Pelodiscus sinensis: one gene and its partners. The protein of the gene in region 3 interacts with the protein of the main gene of each other region in a pairwise test. Links are inferred from orthologs where the notes say so. Each region holds a gene or a part of one and is shown on either strand. Other genes may lie near its edges. The genes, in order: GPATCH2L, protein FRA10AC1 homolog, TRIM41 and CHD2.

Region 1 (8,067 bases), on a different chromosome or scaffold from region 3:
TTCAAAAGATCCCGTAATTCTCAAAAAATGAGGTTTACAGGATCTTTCGAAACGGGGCATTTCTGTCAAACGATCCCTGTCTTGACTGCGTTTTTTTTTTCCCCAAAAAGTGGCTTTTTGAAAAAAAGCTGCAGCAACCATTATGTAAATCAGTGGTCCCCAATGCAGTGCCCGCGGGCACCGTGGCGCCCGCCGGGCCATTTCTGTGTGCCCGCTGAGTGATCGGGGCCAGCCCTGCCCTGGGCACGTGGTGCATGGGCAGTGCTGGTCCCTGGGCGCGCAACGTATGGGTGGCCCTGCCCCCGGGTGCAAGGCGCAAGGGCTGCGCTGACCCCTGGGTGCGCAGCACATGGGCGGCCCTGCCCTTGGGCGCGCAGCGTATGAGCGTCCCCGCCCCTGGACACTCAGCACAGGAGCAGCGCCGGCCCCACGTGCACAGCGCGTGGGTGATGCTGGCTCCTGAGCATGCAGCACAGGAGCGGCGCTGGCCCCAGGAGTGCAGCACATGGGTGGCACCAGCACTGGGCAAGCAGCGTATGGGTGGCCCTGCCCCCCCTGTGCCCGGTGCGTGAGTGGCCCCGCCCCCGGGTGCCTGGCAGCCCCAAAAGGTTGGGGACCACTGATGTAAATGAAGCATGGGAAATTCAAATCCCGGCTTCATTTACAATTTCGATACGTCTAATTTACATCCCTTTATCGAAAAAGGGATGTAATTTAGATGTACCCTACAAAAAACTTCCTATCAGGAATAAGTTGCCTAGGGAGGTTGTGGAATCTCCCATCTCTGGAGATATTTAAAAGCAGGTTAGATAGACATCTATCAGGGATGGTGCAGATGGTACTGGGTCCTGCCATGAGGGCAGGGGTCTGGACTTGATGACATCTTGAGGTCCCTTCCAGTTCTAGTGTTCTGTGATTCTGTTCTATGATTCTATCCTGTGCCCCTGGTGGCCTGTCACATTGCTACAGAAAGGTCAGGAGGAGGTGATGGTAGTTTGCCACGTACAGCTAGTAAGAGGCTGAAATTGAGACTATAGAAGGGTTTGTATGAAGAGCCCTGCAGGTTGAGCGACATGTGGGAACCTTCAGGTAGTCTTAATACTCACTTAACTGAACAATCAGCTGTCTCAGTTCCAGAGACTGTTACCTTGTGTAAAGTGGCTGTGACCCTGAATTGTTCCCCTTAGTGGCTAGAACCAATCCTGGTAGTCTAGCCCTTTGGGGTGGCTGAGGTTTTCCTGTACCTCCATCTTCATCTCTGGAAAGACCAGAACCAGCAATGCGCCCCTGCTGTCTGTGAGGCAGCATGAGCTAGCAGAGAGACCCCAGGAGAGGGAGCAGAGATCTAGATTCTAATCCCAGCTCTGCCACATGACTTGCTGTGTGATTTCCTTTTTCTGTGCCTCAGTTGCCTTCTCTTTCCCATCTCTAAAATGGAGCAACAATGCTCATTTCTTTTTTGGAAGAAGAACACACATACTGTATTTTATTATGGGGCCTCTGGAATCCACCCCTATCTAAACCATACATGTAGGGTAGCCAAAATCTCTCCACTTCCCCCACCACAGGGCATCCAGAACCTTTTTGTATCTTGCAGCTTCCCTAGGGCTAACTTAAAACCAGGTCTGATGGAGACCTGCTTAAGGAGAGCAGTCCATCCCTTCCTTGGACGGTGAAACATGGTGTCCCCAGATCCTTTACACAACCCTTGATGTTGTGCCTCTGTGGTTGTCCCATGGATATGCCCAGGGATCTGAATTGGGGGAACCAGTCTGAGGGGGATTGGCACACTCACTCTTTCTCACTGGGGTCACCCTGTATCGCACCTGGCCTGGTTCAAAGGTCAATGGATCCCTTGACACCTGCTGTGAAAACAGAAAACATACAACTCCCCAGCCTTCCTACTGCAGCTCCCTGCACGCTCCATTCTGCTGTATTTCCCTTGTCTGCCATATCCCTTCCTTCAGCTGCTCTTGGCAGCTCATGACTTCGTGCTTTTTGCCGATGGCCACAAAGAGCAGCATCTGTTGGCTACATCTGGAGCTGCACTTCTGGTTCCCTTGGAGCCAAGGACAGAGCTGCTGTTGTGAGAGCAGGAATTTGGGGTAGGGTAGAAAGGTTCCTTGAATTCTAATTTCCAGACAGTTAATAGCTCTGTTGAATTTACAATACCAGCATCTTGATATTTCCTTAACCTAGAGAAAGTGGGTGATGTGACATTCTCTAGGTGTCATATTGCTCCAAAGGTTGGCAGGAAACACCCCCAGATACATGAAGACTAGCAGGAAAGAGACTCTGGAAGAGCTAATGAAAAATGGAATCTTGCACCATGTGGAGAGGGACCAGGCACCTATGCAAACCACATCTCACAGCCACCATCTTTCTCCTTGAGAGAGCCAGTGAACAAGTTAGCCTTTGGAAGCAAGCAACTTAGCTGATTAAGGGGGCAGAGGGACCAATCTGGAAAACTATGAGGCACTCTGTCCCCTTCCTTCCAACTTGTCTCATCTCCCACATGGCAGAGACATTGTATGAACCACCTTGGGCCAGTCCTGTGTAATGTTCTTGCTGTCTTCAGTGAGGCGTAATTCTTGAGAGACCAGGCATTAGAATTCCTGGGTTATTTTGTCATTTTCTTGCAATGTGACCTTGGAACACTGCTCTCCATGCCTTAGAGTTCCCATCTACAAAACAGGATGAATGAAACTGATCCACAGTGAATGTCTGAAAAGTGCTCTAAGATCCTTGGATGGGGCGTGTTACGGGGGGGCAAAGACGTATTTTAGACGTATACTTATAAGATTGCTTCAGTGCTTGGTAGGAAACCATCATCCATCTCTGACATCACATCGAAAGTCATGATGTCACAACTCATTGTTCTTAAAATTCTGAGAGAATACCTGGATACCATTGTAAAAAGAGCACTGTAAATATACAGGCACATAAAGAAACCAGCCTGGATGATGACCAGCAGGGAGCAGGAGGAGAGAGACAGACAATATATCAGTGATGTATGGTCTCTACTTCTGTACATCACTCCCACTCTTATGCATTCCCATCAATAACCCGCTCCCCCCCCCCCCATCCTGGTATGTTCATACTCACATTACTGACCCTACTATGTATATATACAGATGCATGCTTCAGCTCCTTTTTTTTCCTCTTCTCTTCTCCTCCCATCTGTTTTGCTGCTGTATAACTCCTTGATAAGTAACTTTCTGCAGCCTCAAGGGCTGGGTGCAGGGTCTTGCCCCTCCTCCTCTCCAACAGCCCAGTGGGCTTTTGAACATGTGTTTCTGGGAGGCAGACACCAGCTGGCTGGGGGGGACATTTGCATATTCAGCTAAAAGCTCCTGAGCTGGGGATGTCTGGAGGAGCCCGTGGCAGGATGGAGGGAACAGAGAAGCTTTGGTCAGCTAAAGGTCAAGTGAAACAGATTTCCAAATGAATGGACAGATGGTAAAAGAAGCGGGCGGGTGGGGAATGAATTCACTTTTACATCAAATGAATAAATAGCTACATGCAGATAGAACATGTGACTAGTGAGCCAAGGAACCTGACAGTCATGGTGCTACTGGCAGCTTTCTTCATATTCCTTGTGTGAGGGCTGTCCTTCAGTCACCACTCCACACACACACACATATGCTGGGGAAGTTAAGAGAGGTGGATGAAGCTGCTGTGGAGAGAGTGAAGGGCAAAGGAGGGAGGATCAGGTGAGGTTTTCTTAGCAGGATGGTCTTATCAAAGGGAGTGGCACTTAAACTGCCACTCATAACAATGTGAAATAGAAGCAATACACCCCAAGAAACCAGAAGTTAAATAATTCTTGGGGCCTCTCCATTGTGATTCTGGTAAGATTTCTAGTCATAGCCTTCTCTTGTCACCCACCTCAGCTTTTTCTCTCACAGTGCCCTCTGCTGGCAGGGGCAGCATGAAACAGATCCAGCCTATCTGATATGCTTCCAGTGAGGGGTTCATCCTGTAGCCTCTCCCTTCAGAGGAAGAATTGCCACTGAGTTATATAACTAGTCCTGGATCAGACTGTTCTGAGATCATTCAATCGCATCACAACTGCAGTTTCCAACAGCTGCTTGCAAAAAAATTATCACAGTCCTCCCATGTGTAAAAATAGGAATCTCAGTGGAAGGGAATGAAGATCCCAGTCCTCAAAGGGTGAAAGAGCAAACTTGGGAAAGGGTACAAATTCTCTGGAAGGACAATTGCTGCCCAGGTGGCTCAAGGGAAAATGGGATGAAAATGAGCAGTAAAAAATTAGACTGAATATCAAGAAACTCATGGTGTGAGATTTACAGGGCTAAGGAATCATCTTTTTTTGGAACCCGCATAGTTAGGGACTGGAATGGGCAAAGTTTTGGAGAATGGACTAGGGAATAATCTAGTCTGTCAATTCATAAGGCATGTCCTTAAGGATGTTAAATATCGGTTAATTGAATAGTCGATTAACCTCATGAATTCTTATTGGTTACTCGAGTAGTCTATATCCCCGGGGGTGGGACCGGCAGCCAGTGCACTCCGTCCCCACTCCCAGGAGCCTCCTGCTGCTCCATGCTGCTGCCTCTGTATCAGAAGGAGCTGGTCCGTAAGGGGAGCCAGTTTAAAAACCAGCTCCCTTTGCAGACCGGCTACCTGTCACCCAGTGCTGCTGCTTCTGATACAGAGGCATCAGTGTGGCAGCCATTTAAATTTAAATGAAGCTACGGTTATTTAAATCGCCGCTTCATTTTCCTATGCCGGGTAGCCTAATCTACATGCCTCTGTCGTCAGAGGCATGTAGTCCAGACATACCCTTAGTTTCTTTAATCTCTTGAAAGGCACTTTGTCCAAGGCTTTTGGAAATCCAAGTGACTATCATCTGGTTCTCCTTTCTTCACTAATTTTCTGCTGATCTCAAAGAATTCTAGTAGATGAAGGAGGCATGATTTTCCTTTACAAAGTCCTGTTGATTTGCCTCCAGATTCCATCTCTCTCAGCTGTTCCAGTTCATCACCTCTGGGCTCTGATGGCCATGAGCTAATTGCACCTGGTATATATGCATGCCACTTGGCACAAGGCAAGTAATTCTTATCCATTTTGTACTTTGTGATGAAAATTCAGTAGCCATCTCCCCCCATGACTTATGGAGCTAATGTAGCTTCCATAGTTAAATAAGGTTCTTTACTCTGTGAGTGGGTATTAGCTTGAAATGGGTTTTCTTCTTAAGTTAGACTTCAGGCATTTTAGTTTAACAGACTTTGTTCAGCAGTTTCACAATTAATTCAGCTGCCAACTCCCTCACTAGTAGTCCCATGAATTCTAAACTCATCTGTGCTCTCTCAGATCCCCGTGTATTCTACCTAAATATCGGTGTGCTCAGCACATTGGAAATATGCAGATAGGACATTGTCTGCTAATTTTTGTAAGTTACTAACTTTGAAGAACAGTAATAGTGATTAGAGGTGCTTAAATCCTAAACAAACTGAATTCCAAATATATTTTCAAATAAAGATGCTGAGTTTAGCTTGTGGAATTTTATTATTTATCATTTTGTAAGTATGCAGTGGTGTGCTAGGACTGTATGACAGAGCTTACAAATCTTCAAAGTTTTCTGAATTGTAGCAGGAATATTTCTTTCTCCATATACCTGTGCCATTTTGATATTCATTAGTTCAAAATGTTTGTCATCTCATCAGGAAGTGATTTTTGGTGGCCTGTGTGGTTGTTAAATAGCTGTTATGCCCCCCCACCTTTAGGTACCTGCATTTCCACAGTGGGCGTATCATTTGTAAGGGACCTTGAGAGGCTTTCAGATGAAAAGGGGCTATAGAAATTAAATTTGTTCTTGTCCCCCCAACTGCTAGGGTTTCAGTCAAGCACATCAATCAGTCTGAATTAGGGAAGTTAAAATGCGTTAGTGGTTACATGCAGAGGGCAGGCAGGAGCTGGATACACGGGGAGCCGGCTTTAAAACTAGCTTGCATACCAGCTCCCACCTGCCCCTGCCTCACGCTGCAGCATGCGGGGAGAGGGTGGCTCTGCAGGAGCCAGTACACAGAGGGAGGCAGCTGATACAGAGGCAGCAGTGTGGGAGCGTCGGAGGGGGCCTGCATGTGTAAATGTGCATGTTAACCAATGAGACCAGGCTGCATGAGGCCGAATGCTGCCCCCACTTACACCAGTAAGGCCTTATTGACCTTAGTTATCTATACAGGAGAAAAGAGAGCAGAATATTATTTCTTCAGTCTCTTCTCCCCCAGACTTTACCCTGCTCCCCAAAACTCCTCATTGCTCGTACGCTACAAAGAGTCTGTCTAGCTCCCCACATAAACCCCTTGTTTTCTACTCCGGGGCATCTGCTGCCCTCATGTTTGTTTTATGACTCTCGTGTTTCCATGAGGGTTTTTTGTCTGAGATAGAATGGGTCCATAACCTTGTGGGACAAGGACATCAGACTTGCTGCCAGTGCACACGCTTGCCTAAGCTCCCCTCCCCCTTGCTTTCCATTCCCCTTAGAAAATAAAACATTCCAGCAGAATAATGGCTGCCCACCCCAGTGGAAAACCTCTTCTCCTGACCAGGGTTCACTGGCACTTTGGACTAGCTTAGGGGGAAAAAAAGTGAAGGCAGAAGTGCAGCTCCTGTTGGATTTACATGCTGGCTGGGCACTGGGAGAGGTGGCTAAGTGGAAGCAGGATATTTAGGGACCTGCTGCTTGCATGATTATGCCTCAGCACTGCCAAGGTGAGTTAAATAAGGCAGAAGAGCAATGAGGCCTGCTCCTCTGCAGGCTAGTAGGAGCCCTCCTGCTCCCAGCCACTGCTCTGGGTTTGAGAGCAAAAGTGGAGATATGCCTGCCTGCTTTCCGATCTCCTTCACACCGGTGTCTCCACCTGTCTTTGTCACAGGTGCTAGTAGTGACATGAGGAGCTTGTGTCCACCCCCAGATTGGGGCTATCAGTGCTGTCCTCAAACAAAGCTGCAAAACTCATTTCACACCTGGGATGTTTTATGTGGCTGCTTTGCTGCTGTGTGTGCGGGTGAATTTAGAAGTTCTCCTCTTAGGTGCTGGTGCTAGGGAGCACCATCTTGTGGTGTCAGAGAGCTTGGAAGGCAGGAGTATTCAGGCTAGATTTAGAAGCTAGCTAGCCTCCATGCTGAGGGGCAGCAGGTTTGCAGAAATGTTGGTGGTGTCCAGAGAACACAGAACCTGCACTCCTTCCCCACCCAAACCTCTTCCCTCCCCTTTCCCTGTCTGAGGGAATTTGGGTGGGGCAGGAATGCAGGCTCTGGGATGGAGTTCGGGTGCTGGGTGCAGACTCTGAGCTGGGGCAGGAGATTGGGGTGCAGGCTGTGGGAGAGACTTTGGGTGCTGAAGGGGTGAGGGGTCAGGCTCTGGGAGAGAATGTGGATGTGAGAGGAGGTCTGCGGTGCAGGCCCTGGGCTGGGGCAGGGATGCAGAATGGGGTGAGGGCTAGGGATGTGATAGTGTAAATGCTTATCTGGTGAGCCTGGGCTCATTGGTGAACCTTCATGGTTACATGCAGCTGCACCACCTCCCTTGTGCTGCTGCATGTCAGAGACAGCAGCACGAGGGGCAGGTGGGCAGGCAGGAGCCGGGGATTGTGGGGAGAGGCAGCAGCACGGGGTGGGAGGTCAGGTGGGTTCTCCAGAGAGCCAGTTCCCCCTCATGCCCTGTGTGTAAACAAAATTAATTTACTCAGGTAAAAGTGTAACATCCCTAGTGAGGGGTGAAGGCTCTGGGCTAGGGGATCTCAGGCATCACCCCTGCAGCTTCCCATTGGCCACAGGGGGTGCTCGGGATGGGGCAGTGCATGAAGATATCCATCCACCCCTACCTTCCCCGTGGGGCTGGGGGAAAGACCAGGCTCCAAACTTTGGTGGAGCAGGTCCCCAGGATAGAAATATTTCTGGGCTCGGGCACCATGGGCCTGTATAACTTGTTGTTTATATCTGTGGTGAGCCTGTGCATAGGGTGTATATATATAGTCTTCTCTGAATTTGCCCTTACCCACAGTTTTTACGTTAGTTCCCATACTATCATTGGAGCAG
Region 2 (8,054 bases), on a different chromosome or scaffold from region 3:
GACAGAAGGAGATGGGGAAGATACAAGGGTAGCTGTCCCACCCCAAGGGGCAGGAGTGGGGGGAGGGCAGAGGTGACTGGTGGTGACACTTGTGGGCACCAGCTCCTATGCCCCTGACAAAATTTCAGATGCTACATAGGGTGCCCCACATGCCCCCTGACCCTGTAGGTGCCCCCTTCCCTCCCACCCCAGCAGCCAGAGGGGAATTCTGTGGATTTTTTTTAAGTGTTGTAGATATCTGCAAACTGATCCCTTGCACATGTACTGTGTGCATACAGATGTGATGTAATGTATGACCTCTTAAAATTAATTACCATAATGAATATGCAAAGAAAACAGTCTGCCAAAAGCTTATGAATGGGTTTGCCGGTCCGTGGTATAAAAAGATTGGAAATGACTATTCTTAATGACCTCTGATCAAAAAGTAGGACTGGGTGGACGTGTATGCTCTAAATGTTACTTTTTTTACTTTCGAGTGCAGTTATATTAAAAAAAAAGCACTACATTTGTAAACTTTCATGATGTAGAGATTGCGCTATAGCACTTTTATAAGGTGAGTCAAAAAATACTATTTTCATATTATACTGAAAATGTTTACAATGAAAATGTTTGTAATAAAAATAATATAAAGCAAGCACTGTACACTTTGTATTGTGTTGTAATTCAATTAATTGTTGTAAATTGCTATTTGAAAATATAGAAAAAAGGAATGTAAAATCCTATGTAAATTGTAAACCAGTGAAACTATAAGTTTAACCGGTTATCTGCACACCACGCTTACCAGGATAACTAGTTAATCAGTGCTTGGCCGGGCTGAAGTGCCTCCTCCCCGCATGGCTCAGAGGCTTGCAAGGCCAGACTGGGCAGAGCCCCCCACAATATGCCTTGAGAGGGGGCTGTTCCAGCCCAGCTGGGCACCAGGTAACTAATTACCCCAGTAAGCATGCCGGTAAGATGTTTACTGGTTAACCAGTTAAAATCTTCACGTGTCTAATGGAAAACATCCAAAATATTAAAATAAATGATATTCTATTATTTTAATAGTGCCATTAATACTGTGAATATTTAGTGAACAATTAGAGTCTAGTAAATACTTTTTTCCTGAAATGGAAAAATGAAGAACCTAAAATTCATCTAATTTACTGACCAACAAGTAGCTTTTCATACCACAGAGCATGATTATTTTTTTTAAAGGAAAGAAACAAAACACAGCAAAAATTAAAATAAGTGACTCCAATTATGGTTTCTTACCAAATTAAACTGTGAATACTTAAATCAGTCCAACTTTTTGGCTCAGCTTAATTAACAGGATCGTTGGTCTATACACATTACACACAAATCACTAGTAGCAACAGTACCACCACTAGCAACTTCATCAGTGCACAGCAGGCATTGAAGCAGAACTACTTTCACCCAAGATGGAGAAGAGATCAGAACCATTTACACAGTAGTGAAGGTATATTGGAGGGATGGGCAAAAAGCAATGATGTTAACTTATTAAAACTATTTTCAACTTTATTTTGCTAAGTACAGTTCTCAGATGACAGAGACAAAAGAAAAAAAATCAAAATAAAATAACAGAGACCAAAAGACTAAGGACAGAGATTTGTTTGGCACCACAGAGAAGAGAAACATTGAAAATTTGCCAAGACTAGCATAGGGATGTAAGAGAGCAGTCGATTAGTTGACTACCCAATAAACTTAATCTTATTGGGTGGTCCAGTCCACTACTCACCCTCTCCCCCAGCCTCTATCAGAGGGAGGGGGGCAGGGGTGGCCTCTCCCGCAGAAGCCACCCCTGACTGAGGGGGACCGAGTAGAAACTTGGGACCCCCCACAGCCAGGGGCTGCTGCTCAAAAGCAGCTGGCTGCCTAGGCAGCCCTGCTCAGTCCTAGCTAGCACCAGGACCAAACCCCACTGCGGCTCTACAATTTAAAAGGTGGGAGGAGGAAGGCAGCCTCCTACTCCATTTTAAATTACAGAGCCATAACAGGGTTTGGTCCCTGGCATGAGCAGGGACTGATCTGGAATGCCCACCTGGTTCCTACTAAATTTAGGAGCTAGGCAGGCAGCCCCACTCAGTCCGAATGTGTCAGGGACCAAACCCTGCTGTGGCTCTGCAATTTCAAACGCAGTAGGAGGCAGGGAGCAGCCTGCCTGACTCCTACTGTCTTTTAAATTGCAGAACTGCAGCAGGATTTGATCCCTGTGTGAGCCAGGACCTAGCGGGTTTCGACTACTCGATTGCTAAAATAACCCAAATGTAACATCTCTAGGATAGTGGTCAGGAATCACTGACAAAACAAAAGCCCTTGCTCAAAACAACGCGGAGTCTCCTCTGCGTTTCACAGGCGATGGCAGAGCGGAGAGAGCAGGGGCAGCGCCCCAAGAACACCTCGGCCCGCGCGTTCCCGGTGTTATTTACTCCCACTCCCGCCTGCAGGAGGATTTTGCACCTGTCGCGTTGGCATTAACACAGCCCCCCTCCCACCCGGCCTACTGCGGGCCTGCCCCCGGGCCCGCCCTTCCCTTCTCTCGGGCCTGCGGGCTACTCGCCTCCCCACCCCCCCCGGGAGCGGTCGGTGGCTCCCTGCCTCTGACTCACGGCCTGAGAGCGCAGGAGCTGGGCCGGGACCATGGCTGCCGGCTCGGTCAGCGCCCCGGGATGGGCAGGGCCGCGCTTCCTGCACGCGAACCGGCCGGTGGTTGGGCGCCTCCAGCCCCCGCCGAGCGAGAGGCGCGGGCCGGTTCCCAGCAGCGTCCTTCCCCGTGAAAGGCCCGGCCGGAAACCGGGGCTGGGACAGGAGAGGGCCGGGGGTAGAGGCGCAGGGCCCGGCTCCCTCGGCGCCTCACGCAGGGAGCGCCCCGGCCGCCCGCAGGCGGGGGAGAGAGACCCCGGGGGAGACTCCCGGGCGCAGTCGAGGCCCGGGGCGCGCGCAGGGGAATGGGCGCGACTCGAACCCTGAGCCGGGCCGGCCACTGCGGAGGCACGAAAGGGAGCAGGGCGGGCGCAGAGTGAGCCACGGCGGCCCGGGTCAGGAAGCTGCCTGCAACGAGCGGGCCGTGGTGCAGGTGTGGCCCTTGGGGGGTGCTGTTCTTGAAGTGGTTTCCATCGAGTACGGCTGGAGCCGCCAACTGCAGGGCCTGGGGAGAAGGGTAGTAGTAGGCTGTGTCTAGACTGGCAAGTTTTCCCGCAAATGCTTTTAACGGAAAAGTTTTCTGTTAAAAGCATTTGCGGAAAAGAGCGTCTAGTTTGGCACAGGCGCTTTTCCGCAAAAGCACTTTTTGCGGAAAGTGTCCGTGCCGATCTAGACACGCTTTTCCACAAAAAAGCCATTTTCACAATCGGGGCTTTTTTGTGCATAACAAATCTGAGCTATCTACTCTGGCCCTCTTGTGCAAAAGCTTTTACGGGAGCAGCATAGTATTTCTGCAAGAAGCGCTGATTTCTTACATGAGATCGTCAGTGTTCTTGCAGAAATTCAAGCGGCCAGTGTAGACAGCTGGCAAGTTTTTCCACAAAAGCAGCTGCTTTTGGGAAAAACTTGCCAGTCTAGACACAGCCATAGTGTTGGCTGCAGAGTCCCGGCCGTGCAGAGCTGTCAGCCAAGACCCCACGTGCAGGGCCAGGATCTCAGGACTGCTGCAGCACCCCGCCCACCCTTAGCTCTCCCTTGCCTAAGAATGCTGCCCCTACAGCTCCCTTTTGGCAGGGAATATGAGCAGGGCAGGGTCACAAATGGGGTGAGCTTCACATCCTGCACTCCATCCTATACACACTCATCCCATTCCCCTGCCCTGAGTCTCTCATATACATCTCCACCCCCTGCTCTGAGCCCCCTTGTAGCCAGACAGGAGCCCTCCCCCCCCCCCCCCCCTCCGTAACATCCATTTTTGCTTGCCTGGAGCATACAGGGCACACAGAGCAGTAAAAGCCTTGAACAGAAGGCCCGGATATGCAGGCTGCTGTGACCCTAGATGGCTATAAACAGATATGCCAATTGTTGACCTCGAGGCTGTGAGAACTGCCTTGGCTGGCACCTATATGGATACAAACACAAAGCCGTCTGCGGGGGGAGGAATCTCTCGCCCAATAAAGAATGTCCAGTACTCACAATTTAGTTATCTCTCTTCCAAGTGTAAATTAAGTTGAAACTCCCTTGTAAGAACTGGCGTCACAAAGACAGACCAACACAATTTGGCATCTTAGATAAGACAGAGTATTCAGGCCCCTATGGGTATAAAGATGGGTCCAGCAGCACATTTACTCTGAGGGGCTACGTCTACATTGGCACCCCTTTCGGAAAAGGGATGCTAATGTAGCACGTTGGAATAGGCAAATCCGCGGAGAATTTAAATATCCCCCGCGGCATTTGCATTAACATGGCTGCCGCTTTTTTCTGGCTTTCAAGTAGGAATAAGAAATCCTCCGGAAAAGGGCTTATTTTCCGGAGAATAACGTCTAGACTGGTGCTTTTCTCCAGCTTTTCCCCAAGCCGGAAAAAAGCGGCAGCCATGTTAATGCAAATGCCGCGGGGGATATTTAAATCCCCCGCAGATTTGCCTATTCCAAAGTCTACATTAGCATCCCTTTTCCGGAAAGGGGTGCCAATGTAGACACAGCCAGGCTGTGTCTACATTGGCAATCTTTTCCGGAAAAGGGATGCTAATGAGACATTTCAGAATTGCAAATGCCGCGGGGGATTTAAATATCCCCCGCGGCATTTGCATGAACATGGCTGCCGCTTTTTTCCGGCTCGGGGCTTTGCCGGAGAAAAGCGCCAGTCTAGACGGGATCTTTCGGAAAATAAAGCCTTTTCCGGAAGATCCCTTATTCCTCAATTTAAGAGGAATAAGGGATCTTCCGGAAAAGGCTTTATTTTCCAAAAGATCCCGTCTAGACTGGCGCTTTTCTCCGGCAAAGCCCCGAGCCGGAAAAAAGCGGCAGCCATGTTCATGCAAATGCCGCGGGGGATATTTAAATCCCCTGCGGCATTTGCAATTCCGACTGGTCTCATTAGCATCCCTTTTCCGGAAAAGTGTGCCAATGTAGACACAGCCCACGTGTCAATCTACCATCTATCTGCTGGTCGGGTTAGGTGTTTGACCTCCCCAGGTTCTATGAAGACGCCCACCTCGTATTCGTCTTTCCTAGGAATTGAGGGACCGGCCCTGGCCTAATACGCTGGACTCGAGAGGCACAGAAGGGGATAAAAATTGTACCTGGATGTGGTCCTTTGTCTTAAGTGTACACATAGACTTAGAGCTCTTTAAAGACTAAGCTGTCACTTGGTACCATTATTTCTATTTTCTATCTTTATTTTCTTTATAACCGTTTTTAAGATCTATATTTTCTAGCAGTTAAGAAATAGAGCAATAGCCATTGTAACCATATGATTTATAAGCTTCTTTAATAAACCTGTAAGGCTACGTCTACACTGGCATGATTTTCCGGAAATGCTTTTAACGGAAAAGTTTTCCATTAAAAGCATTTTCAGAAAAGTGCATCTAGATTGGCAGGACGCTTTTCCACAAAAGCATTTTTTGCAGAAAAGTGTCCGCGGCCAATCTAGATGCTCTTTTCCGCAAAAAAGCCCCGATCGCCATTTTCGCGATCGGGGCTTTTTTGCGGAAAACAAATCTCTGCTGTCTACACTAGCCCTTTTGCGCAAAAGTTTTTCGGAAAAAGACTTTTGCCCGAACGGGAACAACATAGTATTTCCGCAAAAGCACTGACAATCTTACATGAAATCGTCAGTGCTTTTGCGGAAATTCAAGCAGCCAGTGTAGACAGCTGGCAAGTTTTTCTGGAAAAGCGGCTGCTTTTCCGGAAAAAGTGGCCAGTCTAGACACAGCGTAACTGTTTAAGCTTTAACCTGACTCCTTCAGTTGCTGTAACAGAACCAAGCACAATTTAAAAGAACTTCAGCTGGTCATAAGGGACAGGTATAGGGAGAGCTTGGGCATTTGGATCGTGTCGCTTCCAGAGGACAGATCCATAGGGGCTGCCCGCTGCGAAGGGATCCTGTATCCTAGCAGTTAAAATCTGAGATGTAATAAGCTCTTCCTATAAACTCTGAGGTGTCTGTCAGCCTGTTGGCTGCCTGCCGCAACGGGACCCCGGTCCTAGTAGTAAAGACACGGACCTTAAACTTCTCAGGGCGCCCTTCAGCCTCCTAGGCTGCCCGCTGCAATGGGACCTTGCATCCCAGCAGTTGAAGACTATGGTGTGACACACACACACAACACACACAACACACACACACACACACACACACACCCCGACTCCTTCACTCCTCATCCCAACCTTCTGCCCTAATCCCCCCACACTCCACTGCTAAAACAGCACCAGTTCCCTGCTCTGAGTCCTTCACCTCCCCCACCCCATGCTGAGTCCTGCATCCTCACCCCTTGCCCTGAGCCTGTCCACTTCCCTCACTGCACCCTGAGCCCCCCACTCAATGCCCTGCCCCCAAACTTCTACCCTGTGTCCTGAGCCCTCCATCCACTGCCCTCACTCCAACACCCTCTACCCCCTGCTCTGAGCCCCCCCCCAGTCCTCCTTGCCCTCACTCCTGTTCCTCCACTCTGAGCCCTACTCCCTGTCTTAACTAAGGCACCTTCTGCCCTGAGCCCCCCTCCATGGAACCCTGTGCCTGATATTTCCCCTCACTCTTCTTTGGTTAGGTTAAACAAGCCAAACTCTTTGAGTCTCCTCTCAAAAGGTAGGTTTTCCAATCCTCAATTCATCCTACTAGCCCTTCTCTGCATCTGTTCCAGTTTTAAATCATCTTTCTTAAACATGAGACACACACAGAACTCCAGATTAGGTACAGCATTGCCTTGTATAATGGTACTAACACTTCCCTGTTTACAGGAAATACCTCACATGATGCATCCCAGGAATGTGTTAGCCTTTTTCATGGTTGCAACACATAAATGGCTCTTAGTCACCTGTGATCAACAAACACATTCACATCTTTTTCCTCCTTTATCACCAGGTGTTGCCAGGTGTCCAGTTTTGAACTGGACAGTCCAGTATTTGAGCTTTCTGTTCGGGAAACAAATTGAGAAAATATAAATGTCCGGTATTTTCTAAATAACATGTAATGTAGATTGTGATGTAATGTCAAGTGTGTCCAGTATTTTCATTGAAACCATCTGGCAACCCTATTTGTCACTTCCAACTAACAAATCTTATAGAAAGATGTCTTGTTGTTTGCCCCTAAATGCATGATCTTGCACTTTGCACTATAAAATATCATCCCATTTCTATTACTCCAGTTTACAAAGTCATTCAGATTGTCTTGTATGATGTTCTGGTCCTTCTCCATTCTGGAAATGCCTCCCAACTTTGTGTCATCTGCAAATTTATTTTTAGCGCACTCCCACTTTTTGTGCCAAGGTCAGTAATGAAAATGTTAAATAAGATTGGTTCCATGACTAACCTCTGAGGAATTCCACTAGTAACCTACCTCTAGCTTGACAGTTCAGCTTTCAGTATATCTATTGTAGTCTCCCCTTCAATCAGTTCCTTTCCACCTTTCATTTAAGTAATAATTTCTCATGTGAAACTGTATCAAATGCCTTACAGACATGCAGATAGATAGATCTACTGCATATCATTTGTCTAAAAAAATCAGTTATCTCAAAAAAAATAGTATCTTTGTTACAACCTCTTGAATCTAACAATTGAAACAATTGTAGAAAAATTTACAATTACTTTCTGTCATTTAGTCTATTTACTTTTTGTAGTTCACCAAGCTTGCAACAGATGTTTAACATTAGGAAACATCCTAGTAACCCTGTATTAGCTTAATTGCCTGTTACTCTCACTGTTTTTCTTTTTGTTTTTTTAATCTGATTCCTTTATTTTGCATCCCAATCTGGAAAGAAATCTCCTGTTTCTTGTGCAGAACTCCTTACACTTCATACTCCAGCCACTTCTATACTTACCACATTGGAGATTGATCTTCTGGCATTCGATTTAGCAGCTCTAAAAGGATCCACTAAATCGAATGCTTTGGGTGCCCCTAGTCAATGCCGGTACTCC
Region 3 (7,155 bases):
GTTAGCTTCCGAAAGCCCACGCAGGCGCTTTGAGATCCCTCCCTGCCTGGCGTCAGGCGCCGGCCACGCACACAGGAAAAGCTGGCGAGAGAAATAAAATACACGCGCTCGCCGCTCCCAGTCGCCTCTAGTTACAGGACTATTCGGCCTGGCTCCTGCCAACCTTCGAGGGGGAAATTTTACCCCGCCCTCCGGGCCCTGATTTTCAGGGCCACGCTGATCGGAATTTGTGATTCGAGCTACGAGGGGAGTTCTCCTTGGAGGCACCAGCCACGGACCGGGGTGCTGCCGTGCTGGGCGCTGGACACACAGCCCCCCAGAGAGCCCAGCACGGATCCAGAATTTCGATCCCTCCGTGGAGGTGCCCCGGAATGAGCACGGAGAAGGCCGGCTCACCCTCGTGACGCCGGGCAACAGAGCCGTAAGCCGGCGGCGTCCCTCTAAAGCCTTCTGCGATGCTCGGGGCCTGGCGTCTTCCTGCCTGTCTCAGGTTTGCTGCCGGCTGTCCCCGGGTCTAATGCCTGGATGTGCGCTCAGGGGACCCTCTGTGCCCAGCAGCGCTGGCTCTGGACACGCTGTGATGTCCACTCTGGCTGGGCATTCACGGATTGCTGGGTCGGGCTGTGGGTGACCCCTACCGCCCCGTGCTGCTCTGCAGAGACTGTGTGTGTGTCCGTGTGCACCGCCCAGCGGGGGGTGGTCCCTGAGGGCAGGCACGAAGGCCATGGCCTAGCTCAGTGGTCCCCAACCTTTGGGGGCTGCTGCGCGCCAGGGGGCGGGGCTGGCCCAGATAGTTCAGCGGGCGCACATAAATGCCTCGGTGGGCCTAGCCATTGCTCACCCGGCACGGGGAAGGAGTTTGATCAAAGGAAGGGGTGTGGCTACTTGGGGGGAGTGGGTGAGCAGTGGCGGAGAGAGGGGCTGTCTCGAACAGACTGAGTCGAGTCCGGGGGGGTTCAGGGGCCTGTGTACCCCTGCCCCCCAAGAGGTCGAAGGCTGCCTGCCCTGACTCTTAGGTCCGCATCGAGTCTGCGCTGTGCTGTATCTCGGAAGAGCAGCAAAACCTTCTACTCCACTCCCATAGCTCCACCATCTGTCCCAGCCGACCCTCCACGTTGTCACCCGCCAGCCAACGAACCCCCCTTGGCCTCCCGGAGCCAACGCGGTACCTCCAGCCACGCGCTGGCCTTACCGGACCCACTGGGGCCCCGGCGCCTCCCCCGGGCACGCCAACGGCTCCCAGACACCCCACCAGGGACGTTAAAAAGCGTGTAACTCGTCAGTCGTGAAGTCGACAAAAGGTTTGTCACCTCCGCCACAAGTCCTCAGTCCCAGCATGCGCGGGGTCCCAGGAGAGCGGTAGCTCCCGGGACCCAGCGCAAGGCAGCCTGCCAACGTACGTCCTGGCGGAAGGGATGCGCGTTAGGCAGGTTACATATCGGTTCACTGAATAGTCGAGCAGCCTCATGAATTCTTCTCAGTTACTTAACCATTCGATAGTCCCCGTGGGCAGGGCCGGCAGACGCCCGAGGAGCCCCCCACACTCCGCGCTGCTGCCGCTGTATCAGAGGCAGCAGCGGGGGTGCCAGGCGGGAGCTGGTCTCAGACCCAGCTGCTCTCGTGGACCGACTGCCTGTCTGAGCCGCAGAGGGGGCAGGTCCCAGACCTGTCCCAAGCCAGGACTGAGCCGGGCTGCTGGCCAGCCTGCTAAAAGTGTACCGGCCGGGGGAAAGAGGGAGGAACGCACGTCGTCTGCAGCATTAACCGATACGCTTCGGTTACGGGTTAATCGACTACGCCATTACATCATAACGCGTGTAGCCGATAGCACGGACGTGTTCGCATCCGCTTCTCGGTTAACCGGCTGCACTTCTACAGCCGCGCCCGGCCCAGCGGACTCCGGCGACCCTTCCCCACCGGCGTACCTTGTAATCCTGCACCACCTCCTCCAGCGGCACCACGCTGTGGTGCTTGTGGCTCCGGGACTCCCGGCACACCACGCAGATGGCCTGCTCGTCCACCTCGCAGAAGAGCTTGAGGGGCTCTTGGTGTTTCTCGCACAGGGCTCGTCTCTCCAGCGCCCCCGGCGCCGCGGCCCCCTCGGGCCTCGCTGAGGTCCCCACAGCAGCCGGGGACGCGAGCCGCTGCGGGAGCGGGTGCATCTGTCGGATGATGTGCACCATGTTGGCCAGCTGGAGGTTGGGCCGGAAGTTCCTCTGGGAGAAGGTCTTGCGGCACTGGGGGCAGGTGAAGGGGGGGAGCGGTCGAGGCCGGGGCGCCACGGCGGCCGGGGGCGTGGGCGTCAGCAGCTCCTCCTCCTCCTCCTCCTCCTCCAGGTCCTCCTCCTCCTCCATCACCTCCTCGGCGTAGTCGTCCTCCTCGAAGTACAGCTCGTCGCCCGCCTCGTCCTCCCACATGTCGTCCTCCCCCGGGTCGTCCCAGAAGTCGGCTTCCTCGTCCTCCTCGCTCCACATGTCATCCTCGTCCTCGGCCCCTTCCTCCTCCTCCTCCTCCTCCTCATCGTTGTAATCGGCCTGGTCGTCCAGCTCGTCCTCCGCGCCGCCCAGCCCCGCCGCCTCGGCCGCGTAGCCGGCCCGGCCCTCGCCCGCCTCCTCGCCCCCCCAGAGCTGGGTGATGCAGACGCGGCAGAAGTTGTGGCCGCAGCCGATGGAGACGGGGTCGGTGAAGTAGTCCAGGCAGATGGCGCAGACGGCCTCCTCCTGCAGCGTCTCCACCGCGCTGGGCTGCCCGCACGGCATCCCCCCGGGGCCGCCTTCCCCGGCCACCGCCGCCATGGGCCCCCCCCGCCCTCAGCTTCCCCCTGAGAGCCTCAGCCCCCCACTTCACCCGGGGGTCCTCAGCCCCCCTGCTTCCTCCTGGGGGTCCCCCGACCCTCCTGCTTCCTCCTGGGGGTCCTCAGCCCCCCTGCTTCCTCCTGGGGGTCCCCCGACCTTCCTGCTTCCTCCTGGGGGTCCTCAGCCCCCCTGCTTTCTCCTGGGGGTCCCTCGACCCTCCTGCTTCCCCCTGGGGGTCCCCCAACCCTCCTACTTCCTCCTGGGGGTCCTCAGCCCCCCTGCTTTCTCCTGGGGGTCCCCCGACCTTCCTGCTTCCTCCTGGGGGTCCTCAGCCCCCCTGCTTCCTCCTGGGGGTCCCCCGACCTTCCTGCTTCCTCCTGGGGGTCCTCAGCCCCCCTGCTTCCTTCTGGGGGTCCTCAGCCCCCCTGCTTTCTCCTGGGGGTCCTCAGCCCCCCTGCTTTCTCCTGGGGGTCCCTCGACCCTCCTGCTTCCCCCTGGGGGTCCCCCGACCCTCCTACTTCCTCCTGGGGGTCCTCAGCCCCCCTGCTTCCTCCTGGGGGTCCCCCGACCTTCCTGCTTCCTCCTGGGGGTCCTCAGCCCCCCTGCTTCCTCCTGGGGGTCCCCCGACCTTCCTGCTTCCTCCTGGGGGTCCTCAGCCCCCCTGCTTCCTTCTGGGGGTCCTCAGCCCCCCTGCTTTCTCCTGGGGGTCCTCAGCCCCCCTACTTCCTCCTGGGGGTCCTCAGCCCCCCTGCTTCCTCCTGGGGGTCCCCCGACCTTCCTGCTTCCTCCTGGGGGTCCTCAGCCCCCCTGCTTCCTCCTGGGGGTCCTCAGCCCCCCTGCTTTCTCCTGGGGGTCCTCAGCCCCCCTACTTCCTCCTGGGGGTCCTCAGCCCCCCTGCTTCCTCCTGGGGGTCCCCCGACCCCTCAGCCCCTCCCCCACTAGGGGCCCTGCCCGGCTGCCCGAGGACGCTCTACCCGCGCGCTCTATGGTGGCTGTCAAGGCAAGCGGGGGAAGGGGGGGATAAGAAGAGGCAGCGGGAGCCTTATTTCCGTTTCCGCCGGAAGTGGCGGCGGGACCTTTTTACCGCTCCGCCACGGGCGCGCGGCGGGGCATGTGACCGGAAGTGGCTCCCCCCCCCCCCGGCGCGCGTTCCGCCGCTCTCCGGCAGGGAGGGGGGGGGGAAGGATGAGGACAGCGCGTCATGTGACCGGAACTGCCGGCCCCACGCTCCATTCTTTCCCCCCCGCCCGTTGGGAGGTTCTGCGCGCGGCGCTCCGGCTCGGATCCGCCCCGCCTCCCCGTGTGACGTCACACGCCCGGCCTCCCTCTCGCCCCTGGAGTTCCAGGGGGCGGGGCCTACTTCTGGAGGGGGCGGGACCGCTCCTAAGCTCCGCCCCCAGTGGGGTGGGAGGTGCTGAGGAGGGGGGGACGCGCTCTGGCTCCGCCTCCTTCTCGCCCCTAAGTTCCAAGGGGGCGGGGCCGATGACGCTGAAGGGGGCGGGGCCGCCTCTAAGCCCCGCCCCCGGTGGGGTAGAAGACGCTGGGGGGGGGGCGCTCTGGCTCTGGCCTCTTTCTCACCCATAAATTCCAAAGGGGCGGGGCCTACGTTTGTGGGGGCGGGGCCGCCCTAAGCCCCGCCCCCAGTGGGGTGGGAGGTGCTGAGGGGGGGCACGTTGCGGAGGGAGGGTGTGTGGGGGGGGAGTGGCCACCCAGGAGAGAGCTGGAGCCCCCCCCAGCCAGCAGTGCCTCGGGGGTGGTGCACATTGGCATGCGCCTTGGTGCACTGCACAAAATTTATTCCACACCGAAAGAAAAAAAATTGCGGAAGGGAGGGGGCCCTGCTGAAGAGGCATTTGTGGAGCCTGCCTGGAGCCGGGGGTGGCGAGCCGGGAGGAGACCCCCTGGGGGAAGCAGCGGTGGGTAGGTAAGAGTGCTCCCGTTAGGGGTGCACAGAGATCTTCCGGGGACCGGCCCCGAGTTTGACCACCGGCTGCTCGGCGCGGTGCCCGGGAAGCCTGTCCCCACGACACGCCTAGCGCCCCGCCCCGCCTAGTGTCCCCGGACGCGCCCGTCCCACCCGCCCGGAGCCGTGGATTTCCCGGAGCAGCGTGCGACCGCGAGGGAACAGCCGGCCCACGGCACGGTAAGAGCGCACGGCGGCGCTTTTGTGGCTCGCCGCGGGAGCGAGGCGTTTTTAAGTGCGGCGGGGCCCACCCCAATTTCTAGCACGAGGCTCTCCAGTCCTCTGCTCGCGAGGCCCCTCGGTTCCTGTAGTCGAAGGCCTGGTGCAGGCAGGGCTGTCCCGGGAGGGCCGCCCCGCAAGGCCTAACTTGGAGGTGTCCGGAAAAAACTCCCCGAAACAACTCTGAGGTCCAGCCATGCTGAATGAACCATGTGGGATCCTTGGAGGCACTGGAGGCTGAGATCCATAAAAAGCCAGGGCACGAGGGGCCGTGTTTAACCCCTTTTCACGGGGGCGGACGTATTCCTTCCATCCCAGGTGGTTCCCTCACTGCTGGGAGCCCTCGCCAGCCGGCCTTCCCTGGACGCTGAGCCCTCGGCCCAGGTACGTTTGCGGGAAAAACATTGGGTGAGCAAAAAACCCCCCCCCCCAAAAAAGGCCACGAGGACCAAAGTTGTTGAGAAATAAAAACAGCCTAACAACAACCTCACAAAAGAGTTACGGCGCCTTTATATCATCTTGCTTTCCCCATGCCCACCAGAGGCGGAGGGGAAGACTGTCCCAAGCGGCCTTCCGTCCCCGAAAAACAGAAAATACCCGACATTTTACATGTCCGGTATTTTCTGTTTGTTTTACTGGACAGAAGTTGCAAATACTGGACTGTCGGGGGCCAAAACCGGACACATGGCCACCCTGGAGAGCTCCAAATGCCGCCCAACGGATGAGCAGAGCGCCCGCGGTCTGCTGGTGGTGCACATCGCCACCGGCCTCGGTGCACCGCACAAAATTTATTCCACGCGCCAATGGGGGGAAAACGGAAGGGCCCATTTTGAAGCAGTTTCGACAACCTCTCTGGGAGGCAGCCGGCGGAGAGGGGGAGGAAAGAGGGGGGCTGATTTTAACCGGCCACTCTTAGCCCAGGCGCTGGTGGTATCCCCCTGGGGAGACAGAGGTGAGGAACAAGGGGTTTCCTACAGATCCCAGGCCAGACTTTTCCCCCGGGGATGGAAGTTGCTGGATAGGAAGCAAGTCTGGGGTCAGTACAATATAGGGCTGGACATTTGGCAAAGCCCAGACTGGAAAAGGAGACAGGCCTATTTTAGGTGAAATTGCATCAACAGCCCGGCTAGCTCAGTCGGTAGAGCATGAGACTCTTAATCTCAGGGTCGTGGGTTCGAGCCCCACGTTGGGCGGCTGAAAATTTTTACCCCAAGTTTTTTATTTTAAACTCTTTTTTCCTCCCTGGCTGTAAAGTTGTGTCTGTTTCCAGGGTCTGGCTGGTCTTGTAAAGGCAGCTAAGTCAAGGGGGGGCTCATGTTCCCCCCCCCCCCCCACTCCAAAGCCAAGTTCTGAGCTGGTCTGTCTGCCTGTCTGCTAAACCCAGACCAGCTGCATTTCCTCAGCAACTCAGGGAACTGGGCTGATTTTTAAAGGGGATTGGTCTGGAGACAGGCCAAGAACTGATGGAGCATTTGAATCACAAGCCAAAAGTCCAGCAGCGAAAGTGAGTCCATGTGGTTTTCCTACCCAGCACCATGGGGGCAAAAAAGGGAGGAATGTTGTTGGTGTTAATTCTTTTTTTTCCTGTGCTTTTCTCAGACATGCCAGGATGTACATTTCAAACACCAGGACCTAGCAAAAGTTTAGCAGTTTATTATTCTTAATTGGATTTACAATCATTTGTTTCCAGCATGATATTGATTAATAGTAATTGCAATTGTAACATGACAGTCAGTATTAATGAACAACAATAATCATTCATAATACATATGCTTGACACAATGGCTCTCACAACTTGGCTAGATTTGCTCCAGGGCTGACTTCAGCCTAACATTGGATACAAGACAAACTTCAAAAACACCAAAAGGTCTGGTAGCACTTTATAGACTAACGTAACATGGAGATGGGATCATGAGCTATCCTGGGCACAGCCCTCTTCTTCAGATGACCAGAGCTTTGAGTTTAGGGTGTGCAGACCCAAAATAAATAGGGGAGAAGCGAGAGGGGGGAAGGAGGAAAAAAAAGGGGGGGGGGAGGAACAAGGAGCAGAAGGTATGAAAATATCTATGTGTCTAGAGTACAGGGATTTTTCGAAAAAAGTGGCCTTTTTTCGAAAAATCTTTACCTGCGTCTAGGCTGCTGCTGCGTTCTTTCGAAAGTCAATCGAAAGAACCCGGC
Region 4 (7,794 bases), on a different chromosome or scaffold from region 3:
AAAAAATCTAAAAACTGAAATTCAGAAACTAAAATAGCCTAACACAGAGAAAAGGGCTCCCTTGAATAAAGGTACATTACCTTTTGATTCTGACATGGGCCCTTAAGTCACAACACAACTTTCAGAAATTGCTACCAAAAAATAGGGTGTGGCATATTAACAATCTCAAGGTCATTCCTTAAAAAAGGGAATGAAAATCAGTTAAATATTTTGTAGTAAGAAGTGACAGTAACCTAAAGCTGTCAAGGTAAACATTGTATTCAGAGGTTTTTAAAAAATAAAATAAAGTTGATAGCTCATACCTCGATGCATTGCTGTGTACGGAACCCTCCTCTCCTTGGCTTTTGTCCTCATTTCTCATCATCTTTTAATTCTTAAATACTAAGGGGGGTGTAGGGTATCTGTGTTTGCTTTGATGTCCTGTGCCCAGGTATTTACTGTCAAAAGTTGAAAGAAAGGTAAGGTCCCAGTTTGTTTCATCGGCTTTCGTTATCAAGAACAAAGTCCTGACGCTGCAATGATAGTTGTAACAATACACAACACTGATCAGCACAGGAAAATGGACATTTAAAACAATAATATTCATTTTAAAAGAAAAAAAATTGAAGAGAAACAGTCCAGAACAGCATCTTGCAAACTTTCCCAAAGTAACAGAAGCAGCAAAAAAAATCTCTGTATTTTATTGCGTCATCCCAATACAGCTCAAGTCGGTCGAAAAATCTAAGTACTTAAAACCAGCAGAAATCTGAAAAATAATAATTGCCCACATACCTGATTCACGCACCACCGCCAGGACCAAGCCGATATTAGTTTCGGGTAGTGGAAAAACATTAGATCCAAAATATTAAGAGGTTAAACGCCAACTGTATAGTTTTAGATAATAAAAAATAAATAGAGCCTAATTTCCAAAAATATACTGCTGTTAAAGCAAAAACAGCGATAATTAGTAGAAAAAATGTCCCGGGGAAAAGCTCATTAGGAGAGCGCACAAAAATGGAGGTACGCCATGGCTTCTAGAGCTGGAAAAACAACGACCTGGGCTCTCTCCACGGCTTCTTCTTTCCAGCAAGGCACGAAAAGAGAGCCCTCAAAAACTGCTTTTCTGCCCGAAAAAGCCTCAATTGCCTCCCGATCGGTGCCTAGGACAGGCAAGGGGCTGTGGGGGCCCCCTGAGGCTGCCCGAAAGTTAGGGAAAGTTGCGTAAAGTGTTGGGAAGGCACGGAGCTCAGCGCGCTCTCTCTAAGGCACAGCCGCCATCTAGAGCTCCTTCCCAGCTCTGAGCTCTGCCTTTGATTGACACTCTCTACATTTACCCCACAACTCAGGTGATGTACCATAGACCCACCCCTTCATTTCTACCAAAAAAACAGATAGCCTCCACCTAAAGGGTGCCTGCCACCCCCCCACATCCTTGGCTTCTTCAGACCACCCCATCTGAGGGGGCACCTTAACCCCATCTGGTTCAGGCACCCTTTTAATGCAGGAAAGAAATGTCATTTGTTTCTTTTGTTTTAAAGATTTGCTAAATATTTCAGTCCTTGGGCTAAAATTACTTCCTCCCTGGACAGGAAGTGGTGCTGTAACAAGCCATTTTGAAAGAATGGAAGATGGACTAATAGCCAGACTTGAGCAACAACCCTCTTTGGAAGTCAACCCCACCCAATGGGGAGCAATTAAAAAAAATGAAAAAAAAAAATCTATGTTCAATCAATAATCCCCTTCACTTATCATACAATGTGTATAACTGAAGCTTAAAAATGGAAAGTCACAACAACCAAAAGAAAGCAGTTTGCCAGTAACCCTTTCATCTCAACAGCGCCTCCCTAGTGGTTATTGAGAAGAGCAAAATTAAATAGCTATGTTATTTTAATTTAATTAATTCAATACACCATGAAAAAATATAGCATTCTGGTATGTAATGTCCATGACTTAACCCATTATTGTTTGTAATAGACCTTAACATCCTAAAAGGGACTTTTTACAATCTTGAGAAAGTCAAGGTCCAAAAGTAATTATTCATTGTAATCCAAGTAAATTCTCAGATACTACTTCCCAGTGGAGAAAACATGACTCATTCAGGAATTGGAGGGGATCTAAACACAAAAGATGCTCTTATTCCCAGTGACCACTATTCCACCCCAACAACCAAAAATAGTAGCCTATGCCATCAGAACTTTTCACACATTTATTGTCCATTTTACAAGATACTGGAATCAGGCATGTGTACCAGATTTTTTTTTTAGTAGTTTTGATTTGGCCTTATATTAAGCGCATCAGAAGTGGTACACTGTCCCAACCAATGGCAAACAGCAAGTTCTACCAATAAAAACAAGTTGCTTTCTTTCAACTTCACATCCTTGCCATTCTTGCCCTGTAAATCCACCCTCTCTCCAATGTGTACTAAAAGGAAGGTTGCGTAAGTTTGATCTGCCATACCAATAGTGCACTATTGACTGGTGAATTATTATATATAGAAGAAAGCTGCCCTCTACACAGCACAATTTAAAAAAAAAGTTATAAAAAGGAAAAGAGCACCAATTCCAACCTGAATTTGAGCAATACAAAGGAAGTCAATTAGTTTGACTACTCGGTCTTTTAGACTGTCTAAATGCAACTCTGCCATATAATAAATGGCAGAAACAAGACTGGGAAGAGTGTACATTCAACATTGCAAGATTCAAGAGTTATGAATAGCCTATCATATACTAAGAATGAACATTTCCAACAATTTATCTTAAAGAATAAGAGCTGAACAGATCGTGCGCCAAATTTACAGTATTTGTCACTTGGAGATTCCTTTTGTCCAGTCTATCTGAATTTACTCTCAAATCTGCATGGTGTTCAGACATGAGAAAAGTTAAGCTACCTGTCCAAGATACATTTTAAGTATGTTTCTCTGTAGCCAGAGGTTGAACATACAAGAAATGTAAGAGGCAAAGTGATCTATGAAATAACTGAATTTTACAATACTACATCATATAGGTAGACCTTTGTGTTTATCTAGTAATAAAGATCAAAATAGTTCCACTTAACACTGTGCAATCTATTTGTATTATCAAGTCAACAAGAAATTCACAGTATACAGGATGGCCATGAACTGTAATAAACATTTGTACAGACTAAATCTAATCCATTTTAAATACATTGGTTTAACATTCTTTACGCTAAGGAACTAAACGCCAAAGAAATAACTTTTTTTAGAATGGTGTAACTTAAACACAATCCAAAACGTAACAAGTTTCCAACACAAAGCACCTGCAGGAAGAAAGGAAGTCATTCAGGCAACTAATTTGAAGTTCACTATAAAAGGTTGTGTGTGTGTGTACACACCCGTCCACATAAGTAACAAAAACAGATTACAGCAACACAGAAGAGTTCCTCAGCCAGACCAAGGATAGTTCAGGATGACCCTCCACTGCCAGCCAATGAATATACATGTTGTCTAGTTTGCCATTATTTGACATTTATACCATCCTATAAAAACTTTGGAAAGTTAAACAAAAGGACTGACAACTGTTCAAATACTGAATATAGAAAGTTAAACATTTTAACAGCATGGATAAGTAAAAATAAAATATTAGAAATTGAGAAACTGAAGTCTTTGAACCCAAATATAGCCATGTTTCAAATGAAGTATTTCGTAAATCTTACAAAACCTTCAATGTTTAAGACAATTGTCATTTTCAGAATCCAATAATCAAAGAATTTAATGACCTAAGTAAGCATCAATACACATTCTAAGTATTTTTCAGTCAGGAAAGAGACAAACCAAGAATAAAGTATAAAACAAATTTATTAAATAAGTCACTTAAAACAACAATACATTTTTCCCAAATAGATGGCAATATCAGGCATATCAACTTGAGTCCCCCGTCAAGGATACATTTCTGAGTATAAAATTTTGCCATCCCCACCCCCTTAAAAACAAATCCATTTTCTGTTCACTTATACAACACCATTTAGAAATTCAAGTCCATTTTGGTAGGATGATCACAAACCAAATCTTCTTTGGTTTAGGAACAATGAAGTCCATGTTAAAATTTCCCTGTCTTGGATGTATATATCACAGCACTCATGCATTAGTCCAGTTTCTCAACCTCTCAATCAACAGTAGAACTGCCATCTTGGTTTTTCATTCGTAGACTCCATTTGACACTCTTCATCTGACTGGACTCTTTATAAAAAATTAAAAGAAAAATGCTGTTGGAATAGAGATAATCTTATCCTTAAACTAAACAGATAATATTCAACCATGTACCTTGAAGACATTTTGAACATTAACTTTAGAACTAAAGCTTCATTAATTTGGTTCAATATAAATTATACCTGCCACATCTGATTTTGCCATCAATTAACTTAGGCACATCCAGCACTATGACAGGTAAGTTTTCAAAAATACAAATAAATACTACAGGGGAAAATAAGAGTTCAAGAAACTTTGAGAATAATTAACTCACTTCTAAAAATTTGCATGGGGAACTATTAAAAATTAAATAGAGAAGGGTTTCATCTCTGGTGACAAGTACTTCTGCCATCTATGACAGTGATGGGTTTCAAATTAAGATGAAACTAAGCCTAATTTTTATACCACATTACATTTTCAACAACTGTCCCCCTCTCTGCTTCTAGCACACAAGTTATCAAACCCAATCATACCAGGGATATGACAGCTAGGTTATTATTTGAAGGTATTGACTGAGTCAATAGAAATTCCTAAAATTGTGCCATCTTGGCGATAGTCTTCTAACTTGGGAAATGGAACACCCATGGTGCTGTTTCATTTTTAAGCAATCAAATTTCAGTATCTACTAGAAGAAAAAATGTATCAAAATCAGATAGTAACTATGCAGATTGCATTGCTTTGTCTCATAACTTTCAATACAACCCGCCTAATGCTGTTCTCCAATCATGTTTTTTTCAGCCATACGCTCAAAGTTTGCTTTTCATAAAGCAGCAATTGGGCCTAAGACACCAGATCAGTGACAAAGTGACCATATGAAGCATTATTCTGACTTGCCATTAAAAAAGGGAAATTTGGGCCTATAGATAAAGTTCTCTTGACTTGAAACAAGCCAAATGTGGCCCAAGACAAATGCAATAAAGTACTTTTTTAAACTACCATTTGCACCCATATACACAACCCTTAAGCACAGGAAACAACTAAATGGCAGAATAGCAAAGAAAACTTCAAAAAGCACTGCACTGATGGCTTGCTTGTAGGCTAACTATAGGTGGAAAACCCTTAACTGTACAATAAATGGCTTTCAGTAACTTCTCAATAGTGAATTTGCATTGTAACTTTATATGTGACATCTTTTATTCCATTCTTTTGAATGTGGCTTTTTAACTTAACCTTCAGTTTAAATTTTACAGCCAATTCTACCACTCTGGTCCCCTTAAGAAAAACCTCCAGATGTGCATAATCTTTCCAGGCAAGAAAGGCTTCAAAAATTACCAAAAAAGACAGAATTGAGTGTAGTCATCTAGTGTTTTGACTCATTCAATGCCACTATTCTCACTTAAATTTTACTTAGTTGGACAGGATATTTTGAACTATAAAGGTACAACAAACTTCCTGTTTTGGGTTAATGACTTGCCATTTATAATGTTTCATATCCCAGTATTCTTGGATGAAGTGATTTTTCCCCCACTTAAGATATCTCTATTCCACATAAGTGGAATACAGGAGCAACTATTTAGATTGAACTATTAGTGGTATCATATGTAACAAGTGAAAAGGGTAGCAGAATATTCAAATCACAGGATCTTCCCATCTTAAACCTCACATACCTCAATGTTCGGTTTTGTTTTGTTTTTTAATTGAAGTGGTATTTCTACTTTTAGTGGGGCATGTATTTTTAACCAATACTATCTATACTGAAAAACTTACAAGTAGTTTATTATCTATTATATATTTTGAAGGGTGTGTTTGTGGATTTATTTGTGCAAAATAAAGTCATACTTTGTGATTACCTACAGATACCAAATTTGCATAAATAATCCTGCCTCTTAAATTAGCGGAATGTACTACTTTTGACACCAGAATATGCTGGGTGAAAGATTTAAATAATTATTTTTGTTTTTCATCAGAAATGTCATTACTATTAGGATCAGAGTTCATAAAAATATTTGCTAATAATTAAAATTGAGTCACCCATTCAAGTCACCTATTCAATTGCCATGTTAGCGTAAAGAAAAATGTTACTGTTATATATATCAAAATAATTCAAGTTAGTCAAAGAAAGAGTAATGAAAGTTTTAAGAGTTTCTGATTCAAGTTTTTACTATGTATGGTAATTATTCAATAAATTGGATATGTTTGAAGTTGAAATCCTACAAATTTAAAACTGGTTTTACTTCCCTTTTGCAAGCACATTAATAAAAAATTCTATGACATTACATTTCTTGAACTTTCCTATATGTTTGTGATCAATGGAAAATTACTTTGCCCAGTCAACGACGGGTCTCACTTGCTAGTATATCATATTTTACATACTCATCTAGATTTAAACCAATTTAGACACAGATTAGTCAGTGTTTCAAAATATTTTTAGGAACTAATGAAATCTAAAGTACCAAAACATGACATAACCACAATCTCGTCAGTGAGTGGGTGAGGCAATATGGTTTACTGGACCATCTTCATGTCCAATACAAGATTTTACCTCACCTATTTTGTGTGTCTAATATGCTGGGGCTAACAGGAATACAATTCTTGTCTGTCAAATATTTGGGAATGTTTAGGTGACTGAGATGAATACTAATGAAATTCACCAAGTTTCTTGTTTCTTTTTATGATTACAGCTTCTATTGGTAAGAAGTAAGGGAAGCCAAATATTGATCTGATAACCATAGTAAGCCTTTGTTTTGCAGTTCTATCCATGAAAACCTACTTCTGTTGGGTCATTCCAACTGACTACAAAGCAAAATGTGATTGAATAAAATATATCATCCCTAAGGTAATCTGTGCTTGGATCAGCCATATTTGGTTGTACCAATGAATTTGGAAACAACTGACAGTGGTAATCTGAATTTCATTTTGCTAATGTCACCATTTCTGTAACAAGATCCTGCAGTGAAAGGAGTTACAATAGGAAAGTATTAATAGCATCAGTAAATAATTTGGACAATTCTTCCAACCACACAGGTAAAACTGTGTTTTTTTTAGGATACATCTAGTAAATATTTCAATGTATTTTCACACGTTAGATTTCTCGTTGAGTGACACTTCTACAATGGCTTGATTTTTTAAACAGTCACACTGGGCATCCATGACTAAGACTCCTCTTCTTACTATCTGAATCTTATGTTCTCTTTATGTCCTTTTGTGGAATCAAAGAATTAGCCATCACTATTGCTCAAAAAGTTTTCCTACACCCTATTGTATTTTTATTTCTAATTGAACAAGATTAATATCTAGGCTATTTAAGGCAGTTACCACAAGGTTTGGTATGTTTCCTTCATATCCTCAAACTATACAACTGCCAATCTTATTAACAGTCCACTGCAGTACCTAGATACATATTCAACCAAACATTTGAAATTTTAAAATTTCTACATGTATCTTCTCTTCACACTCACAATATTAACTTTTTGCTCTAATTTAGAAAGATGACTTTCGGTAATAGTCCACTGCAACAAATAAATTTGCAATCTTTTGTAGCCAACAGTAAGTGTTCAGTTTTTCCTCTTATGTTTGCCAAAATCCCACAACAATTCCCTAAGTAGGTATGTCCAAATACATATATATATAAAAACATCTTATGTTTAAGTAACACAAAAAGATAAAATGCC

Evidence for each region.
Region 1: the proteins of TRIM41 (region 3) and GPATCH2L interact in binary tests that used the Homo sapiens proteins (3 or more experiments, as listed by UniProt). The two-hybrid records come from large-scale screens. The link is inferred for Pelodiscus sinensis from reciprocal best matches to the Homo sapiens genes TRIM41 and GPATCH2L.
Region 2: the proteins of TRIM41 (region 3) and protein FRA10AC1 homolog interact in binary tests that used the Homo sapiens proteins (3 or more experiments, as listed by UniProt). The two-hybrid records come from large-scale screens. The link is inferred for Pelodiscus sinensis from reciprocal best matches to the Homo sapiens genes TRIM41 and FRA10AC1.
Region 4: the proteins of TRIM41 (region 3) and CHD2 interact in binary tests that used the Homo sapiens proteins (3 or more experiments, as listed by UniProt). The two-hybrid records come from large-scale screens. The link is inferred for Pelodiscus sinensis from reciprocal best matches to the Homo sapiens genes TRIM41 and CHD2.

What each region holds. Positions count from the first base shown.
Region 1 is NC_134714.1:43,250,587-43,258,653, reverse strand, and holds the start of GPATCH2L (G patch domain-containing protein 2-like), read left to right. Parts: upstream 1-4,975; 5' UTR 4,976-5,050; coding exon 5,051-5,071; intron 5,072-8,067.
Region 2 is NC_134718.1:41,756,736-41,764,789, reverse strand, and holds the start of protein FRA10AC1 homolog, read right to left. Parts: upstream 3,001-8,054; 5' UTR 2,640-3,000; coding exon 2,607-2,639; intron 1-2,606. UniProt on the Homo sapiens protein: May be involved in pre-mRNA splicing.
Region 3 is NC_134742.1:1,231,555-1,238,709, forward strand, and holds the start of TRIM41 (E3 ubiquitin-protein ligase TRIM41), read right to left. Parts: upstream 3,027-7,155; 5' UTR 2,796-3,026; coding exon 1,926-2,795; intron 1-1,925.
Region 4 is NC_134724.1:12,518,205-12,525,998, forward strand, and holds the start of CHD2 (chromodomain-helicase-DNA-binding protein 2), read right to left. Parts: upstream 3,038-7,794; 5' UTR 772-3,037; intron 513-771; 5' UTR 365-512; coding exon 303-364; intron 1-302. UniProt on the Homo sapiens protein: ATP-dependent chromatin-remodeling factor that specifically binds to the promoter of target genes, leading to chromatin remodeling, possibly by promoting deposition of histone H3.3.